7 linked regions of the Rattus norvegicus genome follow. The protein of the gene in region 3 interacts with the protein of the main gene of each other region in a biochemical or structural test. Links are inferred from orthologs where the notes say so. Each region holds a gene or a part of one and is shown on either strand. Other genes may lie near its edges. The genes, in order: Ube2e1, Prkaca, Ube3a, Ube2d2, Faf2, Ubqln1 and Actbl2.

Region 1 (3,500 bases), on a different chromosome or scaffold from region 3:
TCAGCTAAAACCATTTATCCTTTCTAAGCTTGACTTGAGCTGTGCTCACAATTGTCTCTACTCCCTGACCAACATTATTCAAGAATCCAAGGCAGGGCTTCCCAGCCTCAGGACTGCTGGGATCTGCGGCTGGTTTAATATGCGTTGTGCTTTGTCAAGTGCACTTCAGGGTGGTTAGTGCATCCCTGACCTCTACCTGCCAGGCACTAGAGTGCCCTCCATCCCAGCTGTAACAATCCAGAAGTGACCTCAGAGCTGGGGAAGGTCTGAGGCTGGCCTCTGGCCCTGGCAGTCTTCGCAGTCTTGCTCTTGGGGGACTGAGTCTTCACTTTTATGGAGTAGCAATCAGATCACGAATGTCAGAAATTGCTTGGGCTCTGTTTTGAAACATGGATATCAGGGCCCTTTTCTCTACTCTCACTTCCTGCTGATGTCTACCTGTCTACTTTCACAGTCCTTTTTTCAACCCTAGGAGCTCAGTGTTTTTCTTAAACAGATAATTGTGTTCTTGATTTTTTTTAAGTGTAATGTTGGGTGCGGTGGCTCCTGACTTCAGTCCCAGCGCTCTGGAGGTAGAGATAGATGGGTCTCCAAGTTCAAGGACAGCTTGGTCCGCATGTGCATGGAAAGTGGGTTCTGTCCACCACATTGACTCTTCAGTCTTGCCAGCCTGACAAAGAATAGTTCTAGATGGCAGTTTGGAATGGTGTTGACTGCATTTTAAAGGGCTTAGCTTTCCTCTATCAGTTTGGGATGAGGCATCCAAGACCTAAGTGCTAACAGTATTAGTGTAGTGAGGAACATTTCTTAATTTCCAGACAGATGTCTTGTTTCACTATCCTCAGGGGGCAGGTAAGAAGCTAACATTCTGGTGGTGAGGTCTGTTTTAAGACACTAAGCTCATATATGACTTCTTGACGTAACTGTCCCCAAGGGCCCAATCTCCCTTCTAGTCACCATCCTACTGTAGGTTAAGCAGGGGACACAAACAAGCTAACCTTTGATAATTGAGAACCCATTCTGTTCTTAGTAAATGAAGCAGTAAAGGTAACATCTTTTTCCAGAGGAGTCAGAGTCTATTCCTAGGATAGGGCTGGTTAAGATATTGTTGGAGGCTGGAGAGATAGCTCAGCACTTAAGAGCACCCGATTCTCCTGCAGAGGATTCAGTCAGTTTCCAGCATCTGTGTCAAGCTACTCGCAACCACATGTCACTCCAGCTCCAGGGGATCTCATGCCCTCTTCTAACTTCTAAGATCAGGCAGTGTGTGCTGGGGGGCGGGGGGCATGCATGAGTGCACACACACACACTCTCACTCACTTACTCACTCTCTCACTACATAAATAGAAGTAAATCATCTTTTAATCTTTCCCTGTACTACACCTTGTGATTATAAAGAAAGCATTATACTCTCTAGGTCTCAGAATCGGAGGGTAAGCTTTTTCACTCTGTTGCTAAGGTGCTTGAATACAGAGCAGTGGAAGCCAATGCCATGTTTTAGAAGGATGATGTAGCCAAATGAAGGTACAACCAAGTATGTTTAACAAGAACGGGTTTGGTTAATGGCTAGTAAGAGTCCATGTCTAACACTGAGTGAGAACGGATTACGGACTTGACATTCCCCTCTCACTCAGTTTTTATAAGGTAAGAAGTATAGTCACCAACTTGGAATGACCCATGACCCAGCATTCATGGGAGCTGAATGAGGACTGTGACTTTCAAGACAGTCCGAGCTACTCTGTCTCAGGGGACCAGAAGTGGAGGAGTGTAACGTGATCTATAGCTAAAGCAGTTTTGAGTGTGTGTGTTTGTGTCCACATGTGTACACGAGGAGGCTGGAAATCAATGCTGTACGTCTTTGTGTAGAATTTATCAGCATCACCAGGGTCCAAACTTTGCTAAGCACTTTAATTAAGGAAAAGATTCTGGTTACTTAAAAGGTTCTAAGAAATGATGTAGCCATGAGAAAACTTGTCACTGAGTCAAAAATGAGGACATGATCACTCCTAGGTATGGTTGAGGAGGAGGTCTTATTGTAGATAAGAGGTGAGAACAGGCAGAGACATCTGGGAAGTCCAGACTGAACCTAACTAGCAGACTGGATGGGGAGGAAGGAAAGAAGGAAGGTGGGGCGAGCTGACCAAGAGGGAAACCGGAGGTGTGGACCAAAGGAGCCATAGCCAAGATAGCTGAGCAATGGCGAGAAGATGGGGGAGGTGGTTAGCATGGGGCCTGGTGAGAAGCGCTGGCAGGAGCCGGTTACTGAGTGAGACTTGTCCTGAGTTTCTTCAGAGCAGAGTAGCCAGCAGCTTAGCTTCCGAGACACGGATCTTTATTGTTGTTTCCCGTACTACGTCTGAGAGTTGAGGAAAGTGTGTCCAGCTGTAGCTAGTGTGTTTAGAGTGGACCTGGTGTTCTGTCATGGCTTACTTGACTGGTGGACAATGTCTTTATACCAAAATCTCCTTATGAAGAGAACCAGACATTAAACTCAAAGGATGAGGGGAAGGGGTTTTTTCCTTTTCTGGTCCAGCATCACCATGTCTTTATCTATCTGCTCGTGTGTTACTTCACAGTGCTGGTCCCAAAGGTGACAACATCTATGAGTGGAGATCAACCATTCTGGGGCCTCCAGGGTCTGTGTATGAAGGTGGAGTCTTCTTCCTCGACATCACTTTTACACCAGAGTATCCCTTCAAGCCTCCAAAGGTAAGGAGTCTCCTGTGTCTTCTCACATTTAACTGTCCTTGAGAAAGATTAAAGTTTTCAATGTACTCACAAAAGCCAGATTTCTTCCACGTGTGTGCTGCTGGCCACTGACGCCTCCTTACCCAGTCCCCTCCATGTTGGAAGAGCTGTGTGGACTGCGGTGCAGTCTAGATCTGCTGTGTAGGTCGGAAGAGCTTAGCTTCCTGCTGTGCAGTGTTTGCTAGTGTAAGTGAATGTGATGACTGGTGATTGGTCATAGGCATTTCCAGGGTAAGTACTTAAGATTGCTGTTTATAGCTTCTTAGACTTAATGACTCCGGAGCAGTGTGTTCCTTCCAGCTAACACAAGAGGCCAGCAGACAACCAACAACTTAGACCTATTGATGTCTAAACATTAAAACTAAGCCAGATGCTACTAGTCACACATATGTCATCCTACAGTCTGGAAGCAGAAGCAGAGGGGAGGATCAAAAGTTTGCAGCTAGTGTGGGGTACACGGCACCAGGATGGCCTGATGGAGAAGGGAGGAAGTGTGGACTGTTCGCCTCGAGCAGTGGTCACTGCTGTAGAGTGAGATGGAGGGGTTAGCCTGAAGTGTCCTAATGCCCCTACCTGATGCTGCTTAACAACTGCCTTACTTTTAGGTTACGTTTCGTACAAGAATTTATCACTGTAATATTAATAGCCAAGGAGTTATCTGCTTGGACATATTGAAAGACAACTGGAGCCCAGCACTAACCATCTCGAAAGTCCTCCTCTCTATCTGCTCACTCCTTACAGACTGCAATCCT
Region 2 (3,500 bases), on a different chromosome or scaffold from region 3:
CTAGTGCCAGTGCGAGTGAGGGCAAGTAGGCAAAGGGCAAAGTTGCCTTCTTCCATGGCCTTTTATGTGGGCTGTCACCAGGGGGTATGGCCCAGATTTAGGGCTGGTCTTCCCATCTCAAATAATCCAATTGAGAAAACCCCTCACCAGTATGCCTGACTGCTGGGGTTTTAGCTGATTCCAGATATAGTTAAGTTGCCGGCTAAGATTGACCATTAGAAAGAACGGCTGGCATTTCTATACCACAAACCTGGCACCAGGGCACCAGACCACTGCCCCAGCTCCTTTGCCAATGTGGAATTAGGACTCGTCCCACCAGCACCCTACAAAGTCGTCATGGTTTTATCCCCATTTGCTCCTGGAGAAAACAGACCTAGAGAGATGAGTTGTCCCAAGACATACAGCTGGCCAGCATCCAGACAGAGACTCTGAGTTCCCACCCTGAAGTCCTGACCCCAGCTGCCTCTATAGCCACACACAACAGTGAACTGTCTTCAGGCCTTATTTTTCTGAGTTATTAAGTGGTTAAAACAGATGTAAAGAAGGTGGTCAAACAAATCAAATAAGAGAATGAAATGGGTGCCCCAGCCAGTCACCAGGGACAGCTTCTACATTAGGAGCTGAGATGCTGGCCTCAGAATGCTGTAGGCGCCTGGGAGGAGTGTGCCTGAAGGGAAGCACCCAGTGAAGCAGCTCAGGCGAGGATTCTCCCCTCAGCACAGGCAGGCACAGAGCCAGCAAAGGCCAAGGTGACAGCTGAGCCCACCAAGGGCACCTGCTACACTAGCCCTGCAGGCTTTCACTAGGGCCCGGCCTCAACAGAGGAGCAGCCAGATCAGAGGCTATTAATACCTCAGCTGGTACAACCCTGGCCAAGGAATGTCAGTCAGTGCTGGGGAGAGCGGGGTGGGCTGGCCTGTGTGCCTCTCGGTCCTGTGTTCCCAAGTGCCTATGTACCCTCTTCGAGTGTTACCAGAATCTGATACCTCTGTAATTAGTGGAATATTGGGCCCCAGTCCAATCAAAATGTCCCAGGTTGCCTCTGGGATCCCCCAAAGACATTGGTAAAATATCAGATTCTGGCTTGAAACAGCTGTACCCCACTTTCTACTAGAGTGGAAAAACTTAATGTGCCTCGAAGCAAGGACTTTTCACCTAACTTTTGTCTCTCACCCTCAGTGAAAGAGTTCCTAGCCAAAGCCAAGGAAGATTTCCTGAAAAAATGGGAGACCCCTTCTCAGGTGAGCACCTCAGAGTAAGTAGTACCCAGGCAACAGTCCCCAGCTTGGTCACTGTGTGCCCCACCCAGCCCTGCCCCATTCCCTCTAACTGCTCACGGTGCCCCGGGCTTCTCATTGCCCGGCCTTACTCACTGTATCCTTGCACCTGGCAGCCCCTGCTCCCCATGCAGCTGCCAGCAGCTCCTGGGCCCCAGGCCAGGGCCGGATCTGGCCTCTGCCACCCTGCCTGGAAGAATGTCCCCTGGGTCATCTCCACCCACTCCCCAGAGCCCCCTCTGCCGGTGACACAGGGGACTCCCCAGCTTAGAAGGCTGCAGGGAGGTGCCCCTGACCCCTCCCATCCTTGCCCACAGAATACAGCCCAGTTGGATCATTTTGATAGAATCAAGACCCTTGGCACCGGCTCCTTTGGGCGAGTGATGCTCGTGAAGCACAAGGAAAGTGGGAACCACTATGCCATGAAGATCTTGGACAAGCAGAAGGTAAGATGACCAGCTGCCAGGCCTTCCTGTCTCTGCCCACCGTGCCAAGCCCACCACCACCTACATTGCTTTTCTGCCCATTTATTCTGCGCTCACTGCTGGCAGCTCCAAGAGCTCCACAAGAATATACATGCAGTTCACTGTACATTAGCAGTGGAAGCCTCCCCGGTCCGCCGGTTTAGAAAGGTCCAGTGGCAACTTGGCCTTGCCACTTGCAAAAGACTGTGCTGAGTCCAGAGAGTAAGGGACGGATGTGTGCTTCCTTCCTTAAGCGTTGTAAGTGATCCACAAGTGGTTACTGTCTACTGCTGGGGTGGGCCCTGGACTCCATCCTCACCTCTGCAAAAGAGGGAGAAAGTGGAAGAGGGTGTGAGGGTCTGTGCGAGTAACCGTGCACCCAGGCCACAGCTCTGCAGACTTGGCCGTCTGTGCTCAGCAGTGGCTTGGAACATGTCCTCATGGGTACTCAGTCACTTTCATATCCCCTGATGCTCCACGATCTATCAGACCCCAGGGTGAGAAGGGCCTTCGTTCCTCAACATAGCCAGCCCTGTGGTTAATCTGCAGCTGGACAGAGATCAGGGTGGTCTGCAGAAAAGGTTTGCACAGAAAGAAGTACAGAAGTTCTTTTTTGTTGTTTGTTTGCTTGCTTGTTTGTTTTCCAAGACAAAAATTTTCCCTGTGCAGTGCTATGTAGCCCAGGCTGGCCTCATACTCACAAGTCTGCCTGCCCCTGCTCCTAAGTGCTGGGTGTAAAGGCACAAGCTACCACTGCCTGGCCTGCATAGAAGGTTTTTTTTTTTTTTTTTAAATGTTTAAACTTTGTGTGTATATGTGTCCTGTTGGCCAAGAAGCATAACCAGTTCCAGGTTCAGTGAAAGACCCTGTTTCAAAAAATGAGGTCCAGGTAGAGATAGGACTGGAGAGACGGCTGGGTGAGTTAAAGGCACTTGCTACCCCACGTGATGACCTCAGTTCAATCCCCAGAAACCTACACACACATGCACACACACACACACACACACATACACAAACATTCACACAGATACATACACACGCACTCACACACACATACACACACACACGCCCACACACATACACATACATACACACACATAGATGCACACATACACATACACATGCACACGCACGCACACACATACACACATTCACACAGATACACACATACACACGCACTCACACAACACTCACACACACATACACATGCTCGCACACGCACTCACACATACACACATTCACACAGACATACATACACTCGTACACATACACTCACATATACACATATACACTCACACACACATGCACACACATACACTCACATACACACATACACACTCACACACAGACAAAATAATTGAATTTAAAGAAAAGACTTTAGTGAGTTGGAGGATGAAGAGAAGAGTTCAATTCCCAGAGCAGACACAGCCCAGCACAGTAGCACCCACGTGTATCACACTCTTCCTAGGAGATGGGGCAGAGACAGGCAGTTCCTGAGAGCTCAAGGGCAGCCAGCCTGTCAGATGCAGCAGCAGACAAGGTCCTGCCCTTAAGCAGAGGGAAGATAAAGAACAACATCTGAGGTTGTCCTCTGGTCCCCACTCGTGCACCATGGTGTACACACCCATGCTCATACAAGCACACAGATTTCCTTTTTTTCTCCTAAGATTTATATATTTTATGTATGTGAGTACACTGTAGCTGTCTTCAGACACCAGAAGAGGGCATCGGATGCCATTACAGATGGTTGTGAACCACC
Region 3 (4,300 bases):
ACGATCTCCGTATAGAACTTGATTGGCATTTGGATATCTATATCCTTCAAACTTTTAAGCTTTTTAGAACTCTGCGGTGTTGGCTATATTTTGACAATTCACATTACTTACTAGAAAATTTCCTTTTTTTCCCAGACAACTTCTATTTAGAAGTGAATAGCTGAAAGCATCTTTCCGCTGCAATACTTTACTTTTCTTAGTAGTCTAATGATCTTCGTTTTGGTTTTGTATTTTAATAATTTGCAAAGATAACTCTTTAAAAGGTTACATTTGTTACTAGCTCTTTTCATATAATACAATGGTATTCCAAATGAGGATTTTTAATGAAGAAAAAAAAATAAGAATAGAAAAATTTTAAAGTATCTTACAATCTGACTGAACAGTTGCACTTATTTTTCGTGCAATAGTTTACACCTCCTGCCCCTGCTTATTTTTTAAGTTTTAAAAAATAGCAAGCCTTTAATCCCATCATTCAGAAAGCAGAAGCAGGTGAATTTCTGAATTGAAGGCCAGAATGGTCTACAGAGTGGGCTCCAGAACAGCCAGGGCTTCAGAGAGAAATTGTTTTGAAAAACAAAGAAACAAACAAACAAAAAAACCCAAAAATAGCTGTTTATAGTGGGGAGATGTATATGTATCCATTTATAGGAGTTGCAAGAAACAGAAAAGCACATTGCTACATGTGATTGTTACATTTTGAGTACTAGATGATTAAGGCTTACAAAGTTGCAAGCCAGAAAATAACGTGTCAGCCAGTCTGTAATAATTTGAGTGTCAAAACCATTAACAACAACAACAACAACAGCAAAAAACCTAAGTAAACCATCACTTTGGTACCAAGAAGTCACATGGCTCTAAAAGAGTTCAGGTCTTCTGCATATCAAAATTAGTCTCTATCCATGTGGGATCAAGCAGGGATTCACTCAGTTGACAATCTACTGGAAGACACCACTGGTTAGGCTTTTACCTACTAGTTTGGTAAACCAGTGACAAATCCTGTCCTGGCAGAGGCCTAAGCGGATGACCTTGTTTACTGGAAGGTTGCTCACTCTCGGGTTCCTGCAAAAAAGTCGTAGGGGTCAGCCATAACAACTAAATACTTCTAAGGTTCTTTATTCTGCCAGTAGGCAATACCCTCTCAGCCTATTCGACCCTCTGACTCCGAGGCTATCCTCGGCTGGCTAGCCCTGTCAGCTCTCCCGAGTACACCGAAGACAATGGTCTATAGATTGGGTAAAAGGAGCATAGGCTAAAAACACCAAGCCTCTCTCAGCCCTGTCTCAAGATGGCGACCGTGCTGGCCAGCTTCCACCTAGCCCAAAGCCATCTCCCTTTCCCAAAGGCACCCGCGCCAAGAGCGAAGGCGAACTAGAGTAGGGCCCTGCAGAGATGCAATCCGGGCGGGGCGGAGACAGTCGTCGTCCCACGCACGCGCGAGCTCGCCTAGTCTCCCGCCTCCGGACTTGGAGCCCTCCGCCGGCAGGGTGGCGCGCGCTGCCTGTCGGGATACTCGGTCCGCCCACCTAGTCTTCTCGTCCTCGTTCGCGAGATCCGTGTTTCTCCCAAGATGGTGGCGCTCCTCTTTGGGTGACTACAGGAGACGACAGGGCCTTTCGTCTTCGCAAGTACCTCGCCGCCCCTCCTGCGTTCGCTCGCGCACCGGGCCACGCAGCTGTTCACCGCCTCATCACGACTCTCCTCGTTCGACCAGTCGCGGACGGTGGCGCCTCCTTCTGCTTCTCTTCGGAGTTGCTCGCCACCCTCGCCCCCCACCGTGGACAGATCGCGGCAGCAGCCGTTCAGCGCCGACTTCAAGGTTGCCCAGGCGCCCGGCCTCCCGGCCTCAGTTTCCTGAGGAGAAGCGCGGGTCCCGCATGAGACCCGGCGGTGGCGCCAGCGAAAGGGAACGAGGCGGTGGCGGGCGGCGGCGGTGGACGAGGGCGACAAGGACCAGTGAGGCGGCCGCAGCTGCGAGGGCCGCAGCCCACGCGCGGGGGCGAGGACAGGTCAGTGCTGCTGCGGCCGCGGCCTGCCCGGCGCGCTCCCTCTGGTCTGTACCGCCGGTCCCCTCGTCACCCTCCAGGCCGCGCTGACAGGGTAGGCGCCTGGGCCCTCACCCGCCTCCGTGAGCGAGTGCTTGGGCGCGTGGTCTGGAGGGGCCGGTGCCAGGACTAGGCCCTGGTGGCTGCGGCTGCTGCAGCCTTAACTGTCAGTGCTGGCTGAGCGCAAGAGGGAGGGTTTTGTCACCCGCGGGTACCCGAGTGGGCCCGGGGTGGGGCGGACGTGCAGGGCGTCGAGATTGGGGCCTCATCTAAGCAGGGATCGGAGAGCCAGCCGTGGCTTCAGGCTGCAAAAGGAAGTCCTTTTCCTCCAAAGGGGCGCTCTGGTGGGGAAGACATATTTAGAAGTGTGCTTAGTGGGTTGGGGTATTGTAGGGGGTGGATTGGAAGGAAGACGGATGAAGCGGCACATCAAGCCCAAGGATTGCGCTGTGGTTTTATTCGTGTGCTGCGTCTGGTAGGATTCAGTAGTTGAACGTGAGTTACTGGATTCCTCAGAAACTGCTGTGTTAATTTTAAATGCAAACCTGTAAGCAGTTGGTCTCCTCCTCTTCTCCCCTCCCCCTTTTCAGTTGAGAAAATGAAAAGGACGTTTTCCCCATTTTGATGCGGAGGCTTTTTGTTGGAAGAGTCAGAGTTGAATGTGCTATAATTGCGTTAGCCTTAAAAATAAAAAATATAATTTTAATAAGACTTTTTCACATTTAGAATCCTCTAAAGACAATTTTACGTCAATTTTTTTTTATGTCTTTTGAGGATACTGAAATAGACAAAATCTCTTTGGGTTTGTATTAAGTAGCTAGTGTACTGTTGCAAATGTTAACCAAATAGTATATGGGATGTGTGATCCACAATTATCTAATGTCGCAAAGGATGTTCGTATAACCCAGGGTTTTGGGAGAAGCAGCAGATTATGTTAAAATGCTTTGGAGAAGGAAGTGCGTTTGAAATGAAGATGGCCTGAACTTTAAGAAATATAGCTGTGGGGCAGGGGGTGGGGGAGAAATATAGCTGTTAAAAAGCTAAATATTCAAAGACCTAGTAAATCTTGTTGGACAAGTGACATGACAAGTGTTTTTTTTTTTTTTTTTGTTTTTTGTTTTTGTTTGTTTTTTGTTTTTTTTTTGTCACATCCCAGATTAGTGACTACTTTTACTTAAGATTTTTTTTTTTTTTGGTAAATCATGCAGATTTAGATTTTAGGAGAGATAAAAGGAAAATTTTGTCTTGTTATGTATGACAGAAACTGCTTTAGTATTAAATTCTCTTAAGTAGAATCTGCTTACTGCACTTTTAAGGGAATGGATATTGCATCTGTATTGCTGATAAGCCTAAGTATGACTGTAAATCCATAGATACTTAGCATTACAAAAAAGCCATGTATCAAAATCTGTAATAAAAATGAGAACTTCATCAATTTGCAGTCTATATTTTAAGAAAGATACAACACATAATAAAGATGAGATGACTTGTAGCTTTGTTTTCAGAATCAGAATGTAAGTAAGCTGTGAAGTATTTGTGTCAATATTTACCTTGCATTGGTGTGTTGTGGAGTGGTATACACACGTAATTCTTTGGGTATTGCTCCTCATATACCTGAGGAGCTTAACCATGAGTTTAAAAAAAAAAAAATCCCTTTTGCATGCAGGTTTTGTAGGTGGCTTTTTTTAATCTCTGAAATATCCACCATCACCATTTTTTCGTTCTTTTTTTTTTTTTTTGTTGAAAGGGTCTTAATGGTACTCCACTGGATGACCTGTAACTTTCCTCTTGGCTTTGTCTCCAGGGTTCTGCAATTAAAACTGTATACCACCAGGACTGGCTACTTGCCCTTTTTATGGCTTTAAATAGAAAATGTAATTTTCATCTGAGACTAATTTCTCTGACATGTTAATTTTATTCAGTTGTATATCTTAAACATTTATGTCAATCTCTCTTCCCTCAAAAATTGCTGTAATCGTTTCTCTCAATTTTTATCAACTTTTTTTTTTCCATTGGGCATAGCTAATTTTTTTCTGTTCAAGGGCTTAAGATGATTTTTTCAAATGTCCTTTAAAAAAATAAAACCTTAAATGGTTACTGGTATATTACCATTTATTCTACTTAGGTTTATGTTTGTTATTAATGATAAAATTACTGTTAATGGATTTATATTACATGTATATGCAGCTATTAAAACATCAAGTGTTCTGATTTTTGCAACTGGGTTTGAATTTTAACCGATGGTCTTCTAAGTACTT
Region 4 (4,271 bases), on a different chromosome or scaffold from region 3:
ATGGCTCAGTTGTTAAGAGCACCGACTGCTCTTCCCAAGGTCCTGAGTTCAAATCCCAGCAACCACATGGTGGCTCACAACCATCTGAAACAAGTCTGATGCCCTCTTCTGGTGTGTCTGAAGATAGCAACAGTGTAATCATAATATATAATAAATAAATAAAATATTTAACAAAAAAAAGAAAACAACTATTTTATTTTTATGTATGTATTTCTCTGAGTGCACATGAGTACAGAGGCCATAGGTGTTGGAAACCCTAGGGCTGGAGTCACAGGTAATTTTAATTCTGAGGTGGGTGCTGGAAACCAACCTCTTATCCTCTGCAAGAGCAATGTGTACCGTTAACCATTGAACAATCTCTCTTGTACCTAGAAACAGCATTTTAAAAAAAAAGTTTCCCGAAATGGGCTCAGTAAAATACATGTCATCTTTTTTGAAGTTACATTCGTGAGGGTAAGTACTGCCTGCGTGTGTACCTGTGCTTGGATGCGGAGGTCACGGGATAACTTGGAATAGGTTCTCTCCTTTCCTCAAGTCGGTCTCAGGGATCCAACTCAGGTCACCAGGCTCAGCAGCAAACACCATCACCCACAAAGCTATAGACAACTCCTATTTTGCTTTTTAAGTACAAAAATGTCATCATCACGAAAAAAATTACAAATCAGACATGAAGGCATTTTTGTGCCTCTTTCTTCACATTTCAAAAAGACTTGGGCCTACATAATGTCCCTCCTCATACAGAACCTCTAACTTACAGATTCTGTGTGACTGACTAACTAAGGTTTTTGCCTTTGGGGGTCCACCTCTCTAAGGAGAGGTGATCGACTTTGCCACTTGTTATGAAACCTTGCCAAAAATCCTTTTTGTATTTCTTCATTCTACACGGCCTATTTCCTAACGCTAACAAGTCAGTGGTTGCGTATATAACATTCGAGTCATGTCCAGCTGAGGTCTTTTTTTGCGGGGGACGGGCAGTCTCAGGGCTCCCTGTGCAAGCAAGTTCTAGGACCCTCTTTTTTGGGTGGCAGTGAGGCTGAAGAGTTGTGTGACCTTAGAAAAGTCCCTTTCTTTTTCAGGAAAGTGACAGTCGGATTAGTTACTTCCAAGTCTGATGGTGATTAAACAATGTGGAAAACCCGTGCCTTTAAGCGTTTCTCGTTCTTTGAAGGCGCAGGCACACAGGGTACCAGAAGCTGACTTCAGGCCTTGGCGGGAGGAGGGGGCGTCTAGAACCCGCGCCTAAACTCTCGCGAGATCTCCTGCCTCGCGACGTCATCCCCTCTGCGGCTGTGCCTGCGCCGGCGCCTGCGCAGGCGCGTACGGTACTGGCAGGGGCGGCCCGTATCCCTCCGCCGCCGGCGCGGCCCGGCCCTCCCTCCCAGGCCCGCCAATCCCGGAGCCTCCCGACCTGTCCCTCGGTCTGGGCCCACCCCGCGCTCCGGCAGCCCCACCCCGGCGGCGCCGCCCGCCCGCGCGTCCCTTAGTCCACCTGCACCAGGCAGGAAAGCAGGCTTCCCTGGCTTCGCCACCGTAAGTCGCTCGGCGATCCTGGAGCTTGGGGCTCTTCCTCCCAGGCGGAGGGATCCACGGCAGCCGAGGAGGCGGCGCTGAGCCTACGAGGAAGAGGCAGGCTACGGCGGCGGCGGCTGTGGCAGCAGCGCATAAAGGGGCCGCCGCCGGGTGATGCGGTGACCGCTGCGGCAGGCCCAGAAGCTGAGTGGGCCTCGGCCCTCAGCTCGTCGTATCCGCGCTCCGGAGCTCCCCGTTCTCCGGTCGACTCGCGACCGCTCGGGCGGTCTCAAGCCCCTTAGCCCCTTCCCCGTCCCTCCCCCGTCCCCGTCCCCGCCCCGGGGCCAGCCGCCACCGTTTCCCACCATGGCTCTGAAGAGAATCCACAAGGTAAGCGGCCAGGGGTTTACTGTGGGAATGGGCCGCTGGGCGGGCCCGCTGAATAGGCTGCGGCCTGCACTTCCCGCGGTCGCCTCCACTGGGCTCGCGGCGTCTGGTTCCTTCTGCCGGCGCCGGCCCCAGGGGGCGGCCTTCACACCCCACTCCCAGAGATGGCGCCCAGGGAGGCCCGGGCACGGGGCCCTTGCTTAGGCCGAAGTTGCTCTTGTCTTCGCAGCCTTCATCCCCGACGCCCTTCCAGGCCTCCCTTCAGCCTGAGACTTGATGCTCTCTGGGGCTATTGTCCGGCCGAGAAAGGACTTGGGGCGGCGTAGGGCGGGTGGGGGGCAGGGGTGGAGCGGCTGGTAGTTGGGCGGCCCTGTGATCCGAGGTCGATAGGACTGCTCGCCCAGTCCGTCCCCCTACTCTGGCGCCCTTCAAGAGCTGCCTGAGATCGAGGACATAGTCAGGCCGACCAGAGGGCCCATTTGCTCGATCCACGAATGTTCTTTTGAGTTCACTTAACTCTGGGTCAGCTAGCTGGTCACGAAAGTCCACCTTACTGGTCTAGAAAGTGGAGTAGGAAGTCCGAGGTAAGAAAATGCCACTCGGGGAGAGGAGGGAATTAAGTGGAGAAGGGTTTTATTCCTTGGGATTGGTGTATGTCTTCAGAAACTAACCCTTCAGTTTTGCAGGATTGGATCTAGTGGAACAACTGGTAGACAGTAGAAGCCATTCGGTTCAGAAAAAAACCGAACTTTGAAAACCGCCAGAGAAATCCCTTTCACAGATTTCTCCCAAAATGATTTTAATGCTGAAATTAGATGCAATGTTCGAGAAGACTCCCCGATTTAGAAGGGATTTTGCTCTATTTTTGGTTAGAAATAATTTCTTAACTCTTTTAAGTGAAAGGTTATCCATTTATTTAATAAATAATGAGATTTAACACTGTGGAGAGCATTGACTTCGATTCAAATTTAGGGCACCCTGATGTTAACTTCTTAGTATCACTTAGTGATACTTTTCTTTCCTCTTGGAAATAGGAAGTTACCCCCTGATGAGTTTTGCTTGGTGTTTTATTTGGCTCCTCAGATGGGCTATATTAAATCATTATCATATGAGTAAGTGGCTGGACCTGGGATTACCCCTAACGACCGGTGGGATAAGAATGCAAAAGAATGGAGGATGAAGTAAACACAGAATGACGAGTAGACTGTTCAGTAACTGGTCCTCATTTATTCTTCATTCAAGACCTTGTGGAATTAATTCCTTTCCTTACTGTGAATTAGCATCTTACAACTTTTGTTTTCTTTGATTTCTTAGAACTCAAAGGGCAGACTTTAGATAGTAAATCTTGTACTAAAATGAAGGGCCATTGCTCAAGTTTGAACTTTAACGAAAGAAAAACAGTGTAAGGGATAAGAACAAAGTAAAAGATAAACATCCAAGTAACATGTATATATATATTTCTAAGACTTTAGTAGTCTTTATGGAGTCTAATTGAAAGTTACCAGTTTGAATAGTGTTGAGTTAGACCTGTAAAGAATGCCTACCAAAGATGGGGAAAGGGGAGTTTGGTTTGTGATAATTTGTAGAGATACTTCTTTTTTAAAAGGTAGAGTCTCACTAGCTCTGGCTGGCTTGGAACTTTTAACTCTGGCTGCCCTCAACTCCAAGACCCACTTGCCTCTGTCTTTGGAGTGCTGAGATTATACCATCAAGTTAATAGCTTTTAGTGTTTATATTAATATCTGTGCTATACAGACTTCTTCAGAGATGACACTGACTCAAAACATACATTTAAATCTTAGAATAACATTTGTCCTCCTAATATAGTTTCTGTTGCTGTGTTTTGTTTTGTTTTCTCTTCTCTGTGTAACAGCTCTGGCTGTGTGCTGGTCTCAAACTCTCAAATCTGCTTGCCCCTCTGCCTTCCCAGTGCCAGGAGTAAGTGTGTGCATCACCACAGCCTTCTCCTGTTGCTGTTTTTGAGTTAGGCTGTCACTGCTGGTATTGGTCCTGAGTCCTGGGATTCAGGCATGTACCACCACCACCATACCTGCCTTCACATCTTTTTGTATAGTACTAGGGATTGAATCCAAGATCTTACACATGCTAAGGCAAACGCTCTACTCCTGAACAATATCCTTAGTTCTTGTAAATCTTTTTTTAAAAATCAGGTTTAAAAATGATCATTTGACCTTAAAATTGTGTGTGTGTGTGTGTGTGTGTGTGTGTGTGTGTGTGTGTGTGTGTTTCAACCACAGCCCTCATGGGAATGTGAGGATAACTTGGTAAAGTCTCTCCTTTGACCTTTCTATGGGTCCTAGAGATTGAACTTGGGTTATCCGGTTTGCCTTTACCAACTGAACCATCTATATATA
Region 5 (3,500 bases), on a different chromosome or scaffold from region 3:
ACTGCCCTCTCCTAACCACTCCATTCCTTCCCTCTCTCGCCCTGCCTTGCTTTCAAAAGCACTGATCTTCCTTTTTGTTTTCCACCCTCTGTTTTTACATTCATAGCAACTTGACTTTCCTCCTTACCTGACTTGTGCTCACGTCTTGCTGTGTTATCAGACTGTACACACCTTCAAGGCAGAAGCTGACCTTGTTGTGATTCCTGACAGACCTAAATAGGATTTAGACCATAGGCCCAGGGTAGCTCGTTTGATTCAAACTAAGCCATAGAGACCTTTCATTGTCTCCTTTCGGGAGGAAAACTGGGTTGTAGGCATATAGAATTTGTCAGAGAACAGTAAAGAATAGCACAGACATGTGCTAAAGGGGCTCTTATGGAGTGTCTGGAATTCCTGATTCTTACCTGGAGAGGCAGCTCACTCTTGCTTCTGCTTTACCCACATCTGCTTTTTCTCACAGTTGATCTTCATGCTGGCTGCTGCTTTCTACTCAGCACACATCGCATACCTGCTATACACAGCTAGACACCCTGCTCAGGGCTGCAGATAGCAGGGATGAGGGGGACAGCTGTTCTTTGGGTGACCTTGAGGGTAGAGTACATTAGCCATCCTGGGAATTACAGGCAGTTAGGAGCATACCATTCCTAAGTGACAAGACTCATGGACACTTGCTTTGTCTCAGAAGATCTTATGAACCCTGTGCTCTTCAGGGTACCTGTGGGTGCCCTGGTCCTTCCTGCTTGCTTGTCCACTTGCTGGATCCAACTCCTTTTTGTAGCTAATTTTTTATTGGAAAGAATTTTGTAGCTGCAAAATTGCTTTTACATAGTCACAGTGTCCTGTTTTACCTTTAAACTATGGTACCAGCTGACTTTCTGAGACCGTTAGGAGTTATTTGTGTCACTCCTTCGACCTCATGTGCCTGATGCAGCATAAGGTCTAACAGCACGACAGGCTTTTCATTAACGCTGTTGGCTTGGGCTTTGTAAGGAGGGCGATGCCAGGGTGGCTGCAAAGGCAGCAGCCCGGGAAGTATGTAGTCTCGTCTCCCTTGCAACCCCATTTCCCTCCCCTCTTTCTAGTTGCTAATGTTGGTCAATAGTCACCTTCATCTGGACCCTTAGCCTGAACAGTAGTTTAGATCTTAGTAGTGAATTGTGGTCTTTTGTCTCTCAAAGGCACTTAGTGACGCCAAGCGGGAACTTCGATTTCTTTTGGTTTATCTTCATGGGGATGACCACCAGGACTCTGATGAGTTCTGCCGGTAAGTAGTCCAGTCGTTTTCTTTCTTCTCGGACTTGTATAGTTGGCAGATTACTCTCACGCTGTCTTGTCTTGTTCCACAGCAATGCTCTCTGCGCACCTGAGGTCATCTCGCTGATAAACAGCCGGATGCTTTTTTGGGCTTGTTCTACAAACAAACCGGAGGGGTACAGGGGTAAGTTGTGTTCCGCTGCCTTAGTGAGAGGTCAGAATATCCTTGGGGAAGTCTGGAGAAACATGCTGTGCTGTCACTCAGGTGGTGGTTCTGTGGTAGACGCAATGCTAGTTGAAGTCATTTAATTTTGTCAGCAGTCTGAGAGATGACTGTTGTATTATTTCTTCCTTGAGATGGATGAAACAATCGCAGAGAGCTTAAGACAGATCCAGGCATACAGTTAGCATACGGTTGGGGTTTGACTGGGGCAGACAGAGTTTAAGGCCCATTCTTTATAACTAACCATTGCCAGAGACTCTCATTTTAAGTCAGTTTTGTCTAATTTTAACAGGCTCTTGATAGGCATTCCTCTTCTCTGCCCAGGCTTTCAACAGAACTCTGGAATGAGTTTGCTGTTGAGTGCTAGAGCGCTGGCAGTGGGTACAGAGAGTTCAGTCTTTCTGGCAGCAACTCTTAGTTAGAGATCAGTGTTTTCAGAAACCATCAGACAATACAAACATACCCAGTGGTGAAAATACAGTCATTTTGTAGCCGTTTTGTCTAGCAACCTCTGTATGTGCTAACACCTAGGTAGGCATCAGTGCCTGGTGTTCAGAACCAAATATACTGTAGCTGTTTCTCCTGCGTCTTTTAAATCTTTACTCCTAATTGATTTATGAACATGTGGTATTTTTCGGCAGCCTGTGTTCTAATATGGCTCTGTGGGGCTAGCAGATAGATGGCACAAAGGATACAATTTCTTTTTCATAGCATAAGAATATAGATGCAATTGTATCATAGTAAAATTTTGGTTATTTATAGACCAACTTTTTAACTTTACTTGGAGCAGAAAAACTACCCTTGCTAAGGGAAAAGAAAGACTAGGAAAATGAGGTAGGGGAGGAGTTAGATGAGGAGGAAAAGACGGGGAACATATGTGGTGAGAAAACCACGGCCACCAGCATGCAGCCAAGAACAGCAGCATTGTGTCCGGTGGCCCTGGCTCTGCACATTTGGAGAGATTATACCTAAGCGGTCATGAGAGTCTTTGCAGAGCCTTCTCTTCCACTCAGGAGACAGCGTCTTAGAACTTGAGGCCTTTCCCAGCATGACGGAAACTTACGAAAAAGCCTCCTGCTGCTCTAAGCACTCACCTCACTCAGTTCAGGAATACACACTTGTGACAGAAAAAAATGAGGAGACCAGGCCAGGCTGATGAAATGGGAGTCTGAGTTTGGTTATCCAAAAGGGTGGGAGAGGAGGGCCAACTCTAGAAAGCTATCTTTTTTTTTTTTTTTTTTCCGGAGCTGGGGACCGAACCCAGGGCCTTGCGCTTGCTAGGCAAGTGCTCTACCGCTGAGCTAAATCCCCAACCCCCCAGAAAGCTATCTTCTAATGTCTGCACACAACTGTAGAGGAACTGGAGTGATGGCTCAGCGGTTAAGACATGGGCCACTTTTCCAGAAGACCCAGGTTCATTACCCAGCACCCACATGGCAGCTCACAGGTTCCAAGGAGTCTGACGCTCTTCCAGCCTTTACAGGCACCGTGCATGCATGTGATGCTCAAGTGTCCATGAGACAAGTACTGACATACATAAGACAGACAGAAATCTCTAAGTGTGTTTCCATCAGTTACTTATTACAAAAGAAAGAAAGCAGTAGAAAAAGAAGAGATGACACCTTCCCTTTTCCCATCCAAGAGTATACGTCTGAGGATTGGTCTGTTGCATCCCAAGTCTTATGCTTGATCTCTTGGGTCTCTGTGTCAGTCTCCCAGGCTTTACGAGAGAACACCTATCCATTCCTGGCTATGATTATGTTGAAGGACCGGCGAATGACTGTGGTAGGAAGGCTCGAAGGCCTCATTCAACCTGATGACCTCATCAACCAGTTGACGTTCATTATGGATGCAAACCAGACTTACCTGGTGTCAGAACGCCTAGAAAGGTACTAGGGGGTTCTTTTCTGGAAAGAGACAGATGATGTTTGGACAACTGACTTGGGGCTCCACAAACTACTTTCCTTTGTCTTGGGCACTTTCAAAGCCTTTGCTTCATGTTGAAGGAGAGTTCAGAATGCGG
Region 6 (3,500 bases), on a different chromosome or scaffold from region 3:
TGGGGACACCGGCATGCATGTGGTACCCATAACACACACAGGCAAAACATTCATACACACAAAATAATAAATAATTAATTCTAATACTTTAAAAAAAAATCTTGAAAATGCCCTAAGCACATGAAAGAACTGTGTCCTGAGCATCAGCAGTGAAGCCGCTTTCCTCTCCTCCCTGCGTCCTCCCCGTCGTACCCCTCCCGCATCCTGTGCACGCACTTCACACTGAGCCTCTCCCCACACTCTATTCTTTATTCACTTGCAGTTGTTGAGATTTTGTGGAGAAAAGGTGTTCTGAAGGTGACACCGGTTGGGCTTCAGTGTCCTCACCGGCCCTAAGGCTGTAGCTAGCAGTTTTCCTTAGGTCTCGCTTTCACATCCTAGGAACACACCCTTTCCATGAAAACCTTGTGGTGACTCAGTTCTAGTATGCCAATACATAGTGCACACGTTTAGAACGCAGTACGGATGGACGATAAATAAATGAGCGCTGTTTTAGTTTACACAGAGAAGAGCCTCCAGCTGCTTTTCTTCCCCTTCAGGACTGGTGGATGGGGCTGAAGGTTTCACCTTTAATCCACTAGGCTTTCTGACCTCCAGCTCCGTCCTCTTCCTGTCACTCCCCAGGGCGCCCTCAGTCCAACCTCATCAGTGCAGTGACCTGTGTATGACAGACAGAAGAAAGCCCTCAAATGACCACCTAGGCTTTTAGGAACCCTGTGAGAGATCAAGAAGGAATAAATATGTTGTTTTATACTAGAGAGATTAAAAAAATATGTCTGGTTGGTTCTGCTACATTTTTTGTTTTTATTTTTTGTTTGTTTGTTTGTTTTGTGGAGCTGAGGACCAAACCCAGGGCCTTGCGCTTGCTAGGCAAGCGCTCTACCACTAAATCCCCAACCCTGGTTCTATTACATATTAAAGTTGAAAATTTGACACATTTTGATTGTAGGATGTGTTTGGGGTTGGGGCTGTCCACTGTGAAGCAGCAGTGGGGGGAGGGGCAAGTCTGTCTTGGCACCTGGTGTCTCAGCTGGTGGGCCAGGAGGGTACAGCAGAGCGCTGCTTCTCTCAGTGCAGCTACTGTCTCGAAGCTTCTGCCTGCCGCCCCAAAGGCAGATGAGAAGAGGCAGATTAAGTTTATAGATTGTGCTTTATTTCAGAGCTGGTAATCCGGGGAGGCCACATGTAACCTTCTGCCAGCAAATGATATGGGGTTGGGGAGAACAGAAACAGGTGACTGACCTTTTGAGAGCTCAGGTTTGCCTCTGCTCAGATGGTCAGCAACTGAGACTGTGCGAAATGTTCCTATGCTGCCGCTGTCCCTTTCATTCATTCCCTGTTCCGGGGGTGTCTAGGTTCAAACAGTTCTTAAAACAGAATAATTAGTGTCTGCTGGTATCAGGGTTATATTAACAAGAGCTTCTGCTCTGCTGTGGGTGAGATTGACTCTGAACAAAGCATTAGCAGTGTGTGTTGTAGGCTATTAGGGTGCACATGCAGATTTGTGTCCAGTCTGGGAGTACAAGTACGTCTTCCTAATACACATAGAAAAGTCCCCTATCTGTAGCAGCAGGAAGTCCCTTCAAATGCACTGCATGAATAGCCCACTGAGCTACGAGGAGCTCGTTGTGATCACCTTCATGTGTCACCAGCTGAGGATGAAGGCTTAGGGGCAACACTTCGTATCTAAGCTACAGCATAGGAATTAGATAGTATAATAGTGAGTATAACGCCATATAAGTGGGTGGCAGGAATTGTTTCGTTTGAATGGTTTTTAAAATATAGAGTTAATGATTCTTCATATTTTAGCACAAACTTCTGATTTCCATTTTTGTTTTTCTTTTAAGGTGGACTTGGAGGACTTGCAGGTCTTAGTAGCTTGGGTTTAAATACCACCAACTTCTCTGAACTACAGAGCCAAATGCAGCGGCAACTTTTGTCTAACCCTGAAATGATGGTCCAGATCATGGAAAACCCCTTTGTGCAGAGCATGCTCTCAAACCCTGACCTGATGCGGCAGCTGATCATGGCCAACCCACAGATGCAGCAGCTGATACAGAGAAACCCAGAGATCAGTCACATGCTCAATAACCCAGACATAATGCGACAGGTGCGCAGGAAGGGGCGTGTGTGTACTGTGTGCGCGCGCGCGCGCGTGTGTGTGTGTGTGTGTACTATATGTGTGTGATTGTGTGCACGTGCATGTGTGAGTGTGTGTGTGTACTGTATGTGTGTGTGTACTCTGTGTGTGAGATTGTGTGTATGCATGCATGTGTGTGTGTACTGTATGTGTGTGTGTACTCTGTGTGCGCGTGTGTGTATTCTCTGTGTGTGTGTGTCTGTGTGTGAAATTGTGTGTGTGTGCGTGTGCGTGTGTGTGTGTGTGTGTGTGTAAAATGTTATTTTCTGTGGTGCCAGAAATTGAATTGTGTATTTATTATAAAATTAAAGAGAATCCCAACCATTGTTTAAGGAAAGTCAGCAAAACAATATTAATTTGGTTTGTTTGAACTCTGAATGTTCTGCTATGCTTGAAAATTCTTTAAAGCCCGCCTTAGAAAATAGGCTTGTTGTGCCAGTTTCTCCTCAGTGCTGTGGGGTGGAGAGAAGGGTGGGTCCTAGAGTGCAGGCTAGAGAGGTGATATCAGTGCCCTGCTCCTCACACAGATAAAACAAAACAGAAAACAGTTCTGAGGAGAGGGGATCAGAAAAATTTAATGAAAAAATTTTCAATAAAACCATTGGGTATGGTGGTACACAGCACTTGGGAGGCAGAGGGAGGAGGATCTCTTCTGAGTTTGATTAAGGTCATCCTGGTCTACATAGTGAGTTCTAGAACAGCAGGGACTACATAGAGAAATCTTGTCTCAAAAATTGTGGGGTTGGGGTCGGGGTTGTGGATTTAAGAAACTTAAGAAACTTAAAAGTCCATTTTTGGAATGGCCTGTTTACTTTGTGATAGCCTATAAATAAATGTCGTATTTAGAGATAAAATCCACTGGGAATTTTAAGAAGTACTTTACTAATTTAAATATAGCAAAATTGGTTTAAGACTTTTAATTGGCCTTTTTGATTCTAGAATTGGATGACACCTCATCCTTTTAAATAGAACCCGTGTTTCCATGAACTGAGCAAACGAGGTTAGGCCTTCAGCAGGTAGACAACTGGAGATGCCAAGGCCGGCAGCACCAGGCAGTCTCGGTCCTGACAGAGCTGTGGTGCTGACTCTCAGTGACTAGAACACCCCGTTTCGTATTTTTCAAAATAGCAGTTTAAAAGTTCAGTGTGGCTGCCTGGCACTTGGCACAGGTGCCTCCCTTCAGTTTCCTGAGACTCAGTGCAGGAGCTAATCCACGTCAATTGTGGGTTCCCACAAGCATTGACTGAATGTAGAATGAATTCCTTGAATATTTCAGTGCCTTTTTTTAAAACTGGAAATTTCTTTCTTAGACATTGGAACTTGCCAGAAACCCAGCGATGATGCAGGAAATGATGAGAAA
Region 7 (4,199 bases), on a different chromosome or scaffold from region 3:
GATCTGGTTTGAAGCCTCTGTCTTCTGTGACACCATCAATACTGGCTTCTCATCGGGATGCCTCAGAGCTGGCTCACCCACACTCATGCCTCCAGAGCCAGCACCCACTGTCCTGCCCAGTCAAAGAGTAGGACCATCTTCCAAGTATTACAGCCAGCAAGAGGATGGCCCAGCTCTCCCACTCTCATAACCCTGGGTCAGCTTTCCCAACTGCCTTAGGTAGTGGGGGGCAAAGGGGTAGAGAGACAAATAAGTTACCATCCTACTTACCTAACACATTTGCGACTAGAATTTATGAACAATGGTAGCTGATGGTTTCTCACTTCTTCCTGTCCTATGATCATCATGACACACATTTACCAAGGTGTCTGTATTTCTACATTAAACATTAAATTCAAATAAACTTTCTCTGAAGTGATTAGTATATTTTTAAATGAGAAGAAAGCAATATTGTACCAATTGTGTCAAGATGTGTCAATCACAGATGGGCTTGATGTAGTAATAAAATATATGCATCTTGAAAATTCAGTTGTTTAAAAGATCAATATGTACCCAAATATATAATTTAAAACCTTATCTTATCATCTAAGTTGTTTGTTGTGTAACTCAACTAATTTATAAAAATTTATTGTGAATAAAATTATCATAATTTGTATTTTAAAAATAAACCACTCAAAAACATTGGCATTTTGCTTTTGTGCAGTCAACATTAGCACGGGAAACCTATGAACAATGAATGCATAATAATAAACTTGGTTATTAGAAAATATAAATAATATAATGTAGTTATTAGATAGTATGTCAGAAAAATATATAGTGGCTCTCTTTATTGATCCCCTATTGCTTTTACTTGGGCCTGGTGGATTTGAAGTCAATTAAATACTCTACATTTTTCATGGTACAAGTACATTCTGATTAAAGCCATTAGGCCACCCGAGGCCATTCGTTATTTTCTTTCATTAAAATAGCTTCTGTCAAGATGACATCTTATAATAATGGGAAAGAAAAACGTTAAGACAGAATCAGACTCTTCATTTGAATAACATATCAAAACCGAAAGGTCAAAGCGGAGCGCAGTCAGAGTGCATGCTGGAGAGGAGCAGGGACAGCGACTCCGTCTCTAGCTCTGTCTCTTCCCTCTGCATCACACAGTCATCTAGAGACCCCACCAAGCAGACCGGCAGCACTGTGTGGGATGCCTAATTACAGCCCCCTGAGACTTAGCCACTTGGTAGCCAGTTTTCTCTTTATGAAAGAAGGCCTACTAATGATTTCTGTAATTATCATCATTAGTAGTACCTCAAAGGCAGCCCCACCCAGAAATGCTGAGAACTGGTAGGAAAGAACATGGGTGGAGACAGTATGTGCCTTTAAATACCTGGGCTTGAGGTCCAGACTCTCTTCTCTAAGGGCGGTTCTGAAGTGTTCTGAGTATCCATTCTCTGTCTTGCACATCATAGTCTAGAACTCACCTCTATTTAACTTCTGTTCACGCATCTGGAAGATCGCAACCAGCAACCATGGTTGATGATGAGCTGGGTGCCTTGGTAGTAGATAATGGGTCAGGGATGTGCAAGGCGGGTTTTGGGGGTGATGACGCCCCCCGTGCTGTGTTCCCCTCCATGGTAGGGCGTCCACGACACCAAGGGGTCATGGTGGGCATGGGCCAGAAGGACTGTTATGTGGGAGATGAGGCCCAGAGCAAGAGAGGCATCTTGACCCTGAAGTATCCCATTGAACATGGAGTCGTCACCAACTGGGATGACATGGAGAAGATCTGGTACCACACTTTCTACAATGAGCTCCGTGTAGCACCGGATGAGCATCCTATTCTTCTCACCGAGGCACCCCTCAACCCCAAAATCAACCGGGAGAAGATGACTCAGATAATGTTTGAGGCTTTCAACACACCTGCCATGTATGTAGCTATCCAAGCCGTACTGTCCCTCTATGCCTCGGGAAGGACGACAGGTAACGTGATGGATTCTGGGGATGGCGTCACTCACACTGTGCCTATCTATGAAGGCTATGCTCTGCCCCATGGCATTCTACGACTAGATCTGGCAGGCAGAGACCTGACTGATTACCTCATGAAGATCCTGACAGAACGAGGTTATAACTTCACCACCACAGCTGAGAGGGAGATCGTGCGGGATGTCAAAGAAAAGCTGTGCTATGTGGCCCTGGACTTTGAGCAGGAGATGGTCACTGCAGCTGCTTCATCCTCACTTGAAAGAAGCTATGAGCTCCCTGATGGGCAGGTGATCACCATTGGGAACGAACGTTTTCGATGCCCAGAAGCCATTTTCCAGCCTTCCTTTCTAGGTATTGAATCCAGAGGGATCCATGAGACAACCTTCAACTCCATCATGAAGTGTGATGTGGATATTCGCAAGGATTTATATGCCAACACTGTGCTGTCTGGAGGCAGCACCATGTACCCGGGCATTGCCGACAGGATGCAGAAGGAAATCGTAACCTTGGCACCAAGCACCATGAAAATTAAGATCATAGCTCCCCCAGAACGCAAGTATTCAGTTTGGATTGGGGGCTCCATCCTCGCCAGCCTATCCACATTCCAGCAGATGTGGATCAGTAAGCAGGAGTACGATGAAGCCGGTCCTCCTATAGTTCATAGAAAATGCTTCTAAATGAGCTACCAGGTCCCTTTTCCTAGGTCAGAACGATGGTACCCACCTCACCCAGGAAAATTAAGGTAAATCATTTACTTCTTATTGAGCATTAGAGCCAGGAAATCTACATCTCCATGCAAGTATCCAGGGCTCTGTCACAGCTAACCACACTGAGCTTTTTAGCAGCTGAGGGAAATCTGACATCATAATCTGTTTTCTATGCCCGTGAGGCTCAGAGAAATGTGGGCTTGCTTACATGAAAATGGGTGACAAGGAGTAAGGTCATGAGAAAAGAATTTCAGGCTGCATAACCACAATATGCAAGCTTTAGATCTAGTTCTTGCTAAAATGGTCAACAACGCTCTACAGATCTGCAATATAAAAGTCTAGCAACTATGTCTTATTAATTCTCTGTATTTATTTACTTCTTTCTATGGATATAACAAACTACACAGGTCCATCCTCTATATCCACTTATGCATCAGGAAGGTAAAGTATTACATCTTAAGACATAATATGTACTTGGCCGAGCAGCTTCTGTGAATGTTCTTATTCTCTAGCCAACGTTTCAGCAGCTCTGTATTTCAAGGAATTGCCTTATCACATAAGCATAGCTAAACGGTTGCCATTCGATTGGTGTGTATAAATCAAATAAATTCCCAAGTCAAGGTGGAATTCTGTTGGCCAAGTACATCTTAATGACTTAGTTACTGAACTTCATCAGACTCACGAAACAGCAAACCTACCGATGGATGATGCCTAACTGTCTACATAGAAAGATATTGTGATGCCGAGTTCATTTTGTCTGCCACAGGGTGACAAGAATAATTTTATTCATATCTCTTAGCCTAATAATGTGTCTTGAGCAATATCTAAGGGTTGATTCTGGACATTCCTCTTAGGCAAGGACGTCACTATGGGGAATGCAGCACCAGTCTCTTAGCAAACAGTAAGTGGTCGTAGACGTTCAGTAACCTCGAGCAAGTTCTCGGAAAGATTTTATTGTAGCTCTTTACTTTATTACATCCAGTGGCTGGCAACACGTGTTTACCTATGTATCTCTGAGATGACAGTGTCTCAAAAAACATACTAGTGTTTCTTCCTACAATGTTTGAGATGTTTTCATGAATCCAGTGGTGATTTAACAACAAATTTTTAGTATGACCATATCTGCTTCCATTTATGATGTGATTTCTGTATTTGGTTATCAGGGTAATTTGTATTTTTTATGTTTTTATCTAAAAAGTTAAGATATTTATCTGCTTATTTGCTTAAGAAGATACCGTTAGACCAGTGGGAGGGAGGAATATCTTCTTTTTCATATTAGTTTGGAAACTTCTTGTGTTTAAACATGTGAATTTGGAATCTTTAACCAATTTTGATTAAGATAGAACTTTCCAAATAACTTGATTATTCCTTATTTCCTTTATCAGTTGATGTAATTGTTTAATCTGCAAAAGCACTTTATTTTACAAAGCTTGCTTTTCGTTTAATTTCATTAAAGTAAAATGACAACATGCTTGTGTTTTGGATTTCCTGTTATTTCCCTCACTCCTTCCCACGAGA

The links.
Region 1: the proteins of Ube3a (region 3) and Ube2e1 form a complex in vitro, tested with the Homo sapiens proteins (2 studies listed by BioGRID). The link is inferred for Rattus norvegicus from reciprocal best matches to the Homo sapiens genes UBE3A and UBE2E1.
Region 2: the proteins of Ube3a (region 3) and Prkaca form a complex in vitro, tested with the Homo sapiens proteins (2 studies listed by BioGRID, with this or other methods). The link is inferred for Rattus norvegicus from reciprocal best matches to the Homo sapiens genes UBE3A and PRKACA.
Region 4: the proteins of Ube3a (region 3) and Ube2d2 form a complex in vitro, tested with the Homo sapiens proteins (12 studies listed by BioGRID, with this or other methods). The link is inferred for Rattus norvegicus from reciprocal best matches to the Homo sapiens genes UBE3A and UBE2D2.
Region 5: of the proteins of Ube3a (region 3) and Faf2, one has a biochemical effect on the other in vitro, tested with the Homo sapiens proteins (2 studies listed by BioGRID). The link is inferred for Rattus norvegicus from reciprocal best matches to the Homo sapiens genes UBE3A and FAF2.
Region 6: the proteins of Ube3a (region 3) and Ubqln1 form a complex in vitro, tested with the Homo sapiens proteins (2 studies listed by BioGRID, with this or other methods). The link is inferred for Rattus norvegicus from reciprocal best matches to the Homo sapiens genes UBE3A and UBQLN1.
Region 7: the proteins of Ube3a (region 3) and Actbl2 form a complex in vitro, tested with the Homo sapiens proteins (2 studies listed by BioGRID). The link is inferred for Rattus norvegicus from reciprocal best matches to the Homo sapiens genes UBE3A and ACTBL2.

Annotation. Positions count from the first base shown.
Region 1 is NC_086033.1:9,919,042-9,922,541, forward strand, and holds part of Ube2e1 (ubiquitin-conjugating enzyme E2 E1), read left to right. Parts: intron 1-2,576; coding exon 2,577-2,709; intron 2,710-3,353; coding exon 3,354-3,500. UniProt on the Homo sapiens protein: Accepts ubiquitin from the E1 complex and catalyzes its covalent attachment to other proteins. Catalyzes the covalent attachment of ISG15 to other proteins. Mediates the selective degradation of short-lived and abnormal proteins.
Region 2 is NC_086037.1:41,073,190-41,076,689, reverse strand, and holds part of Prkaca (cAMP-dependent protein kinase catalytic subunit alpha), read left to right. Parts: exon of another isoform or gene 1-1,173; intron 1,174-1,179; coding exon 1,180-1,241; intron 1,242-1,594; coding exon 1,595-1,723; intron 1,724-3,500.
Region 3 is NC_086019.1:119,204,648-119,208,947, forward strand, and holds the start of Ube3a (ubiquitin-protein ligase E3A), read left to right. Parts: upstream 1-1,500; 5' UTR 1,501-2,006; intron 2,007-2,011; exon of another isoform or gene 2,012-2,097; intron 2,098-2,139; exon of another isoform or gene 2,140-2,537; intron 2,538-4,300. UniProt on the Homo sapiens protein: E3 ubiquitin-protein ligase which accepts ubiquitin from an E2 ubiquitin-conjugating enzyme in the form of a thioester and transfers it to its substrates.
Region 4 is NC_086036.1:27,636,928-27,641,198, forward strand, and holds the start of Ube2d2 (ubiquitin-conjugating enzyme E2 D2), read left to right. Parts: upstream 1-1,471; 5' UTR 1,472-1,875; coding exon 1,876-1,899; intron 1,900-4,271.
Region 5 is NC_086035.1:9,963,542-9,967,041, reverse strand, and holds part of Faf2 (FAS-associated factor 2), read left to right. Parts: intron 1-1,178; coding exon 1,179-1,264; intron 1,265-1,346; coding exon 1,347-1,438; intron 1,439-3,188; coding exon 3,189-3,366; intron 3,367-3,500. UniProt on the Homo sapiens protein: Plays an important role in endoplasmic reticulum-associated degradation (ERAD) that mediates ubiquitin-dependent degradation of misfolded endoplasmic reticulum proteins.
Region 6 is NC_086035.1:6,464,940-6,468,439, forward strand, and holds part of Ubqln1 (ubiquilin-1), read left to right. Parts: intron 1-1,847; coding exon 1,848-2,110; intron 2,111-3,450; coding exon 3,451-3,500. UniProt on the Homo sapiens protein: Plays an important role in the regulation of different protein degradation mechanisms and pathways including ubiquitin-proteasome system (UPS), autophagy and endoplasmic reticulum-associated protein degradation (ERAD) pathway.
Region 7 is NC_086020.1:44,589,992-44,594,190, forward strand, and holds Actbl2 (beta-actin-like protein 2), read left to right. Parts: upstream 1-1,399; 5' UTR 1,400-1,520; coding exon 1,521-2,651; 3' UTR 2,652-4,147; downstream 4,148-4,199. UniProt on the Homo sapiens protein: Actins are highly conserved proteins that are involved in various types of cell motility and are ubiquitously expressed in all eukaryotic cells.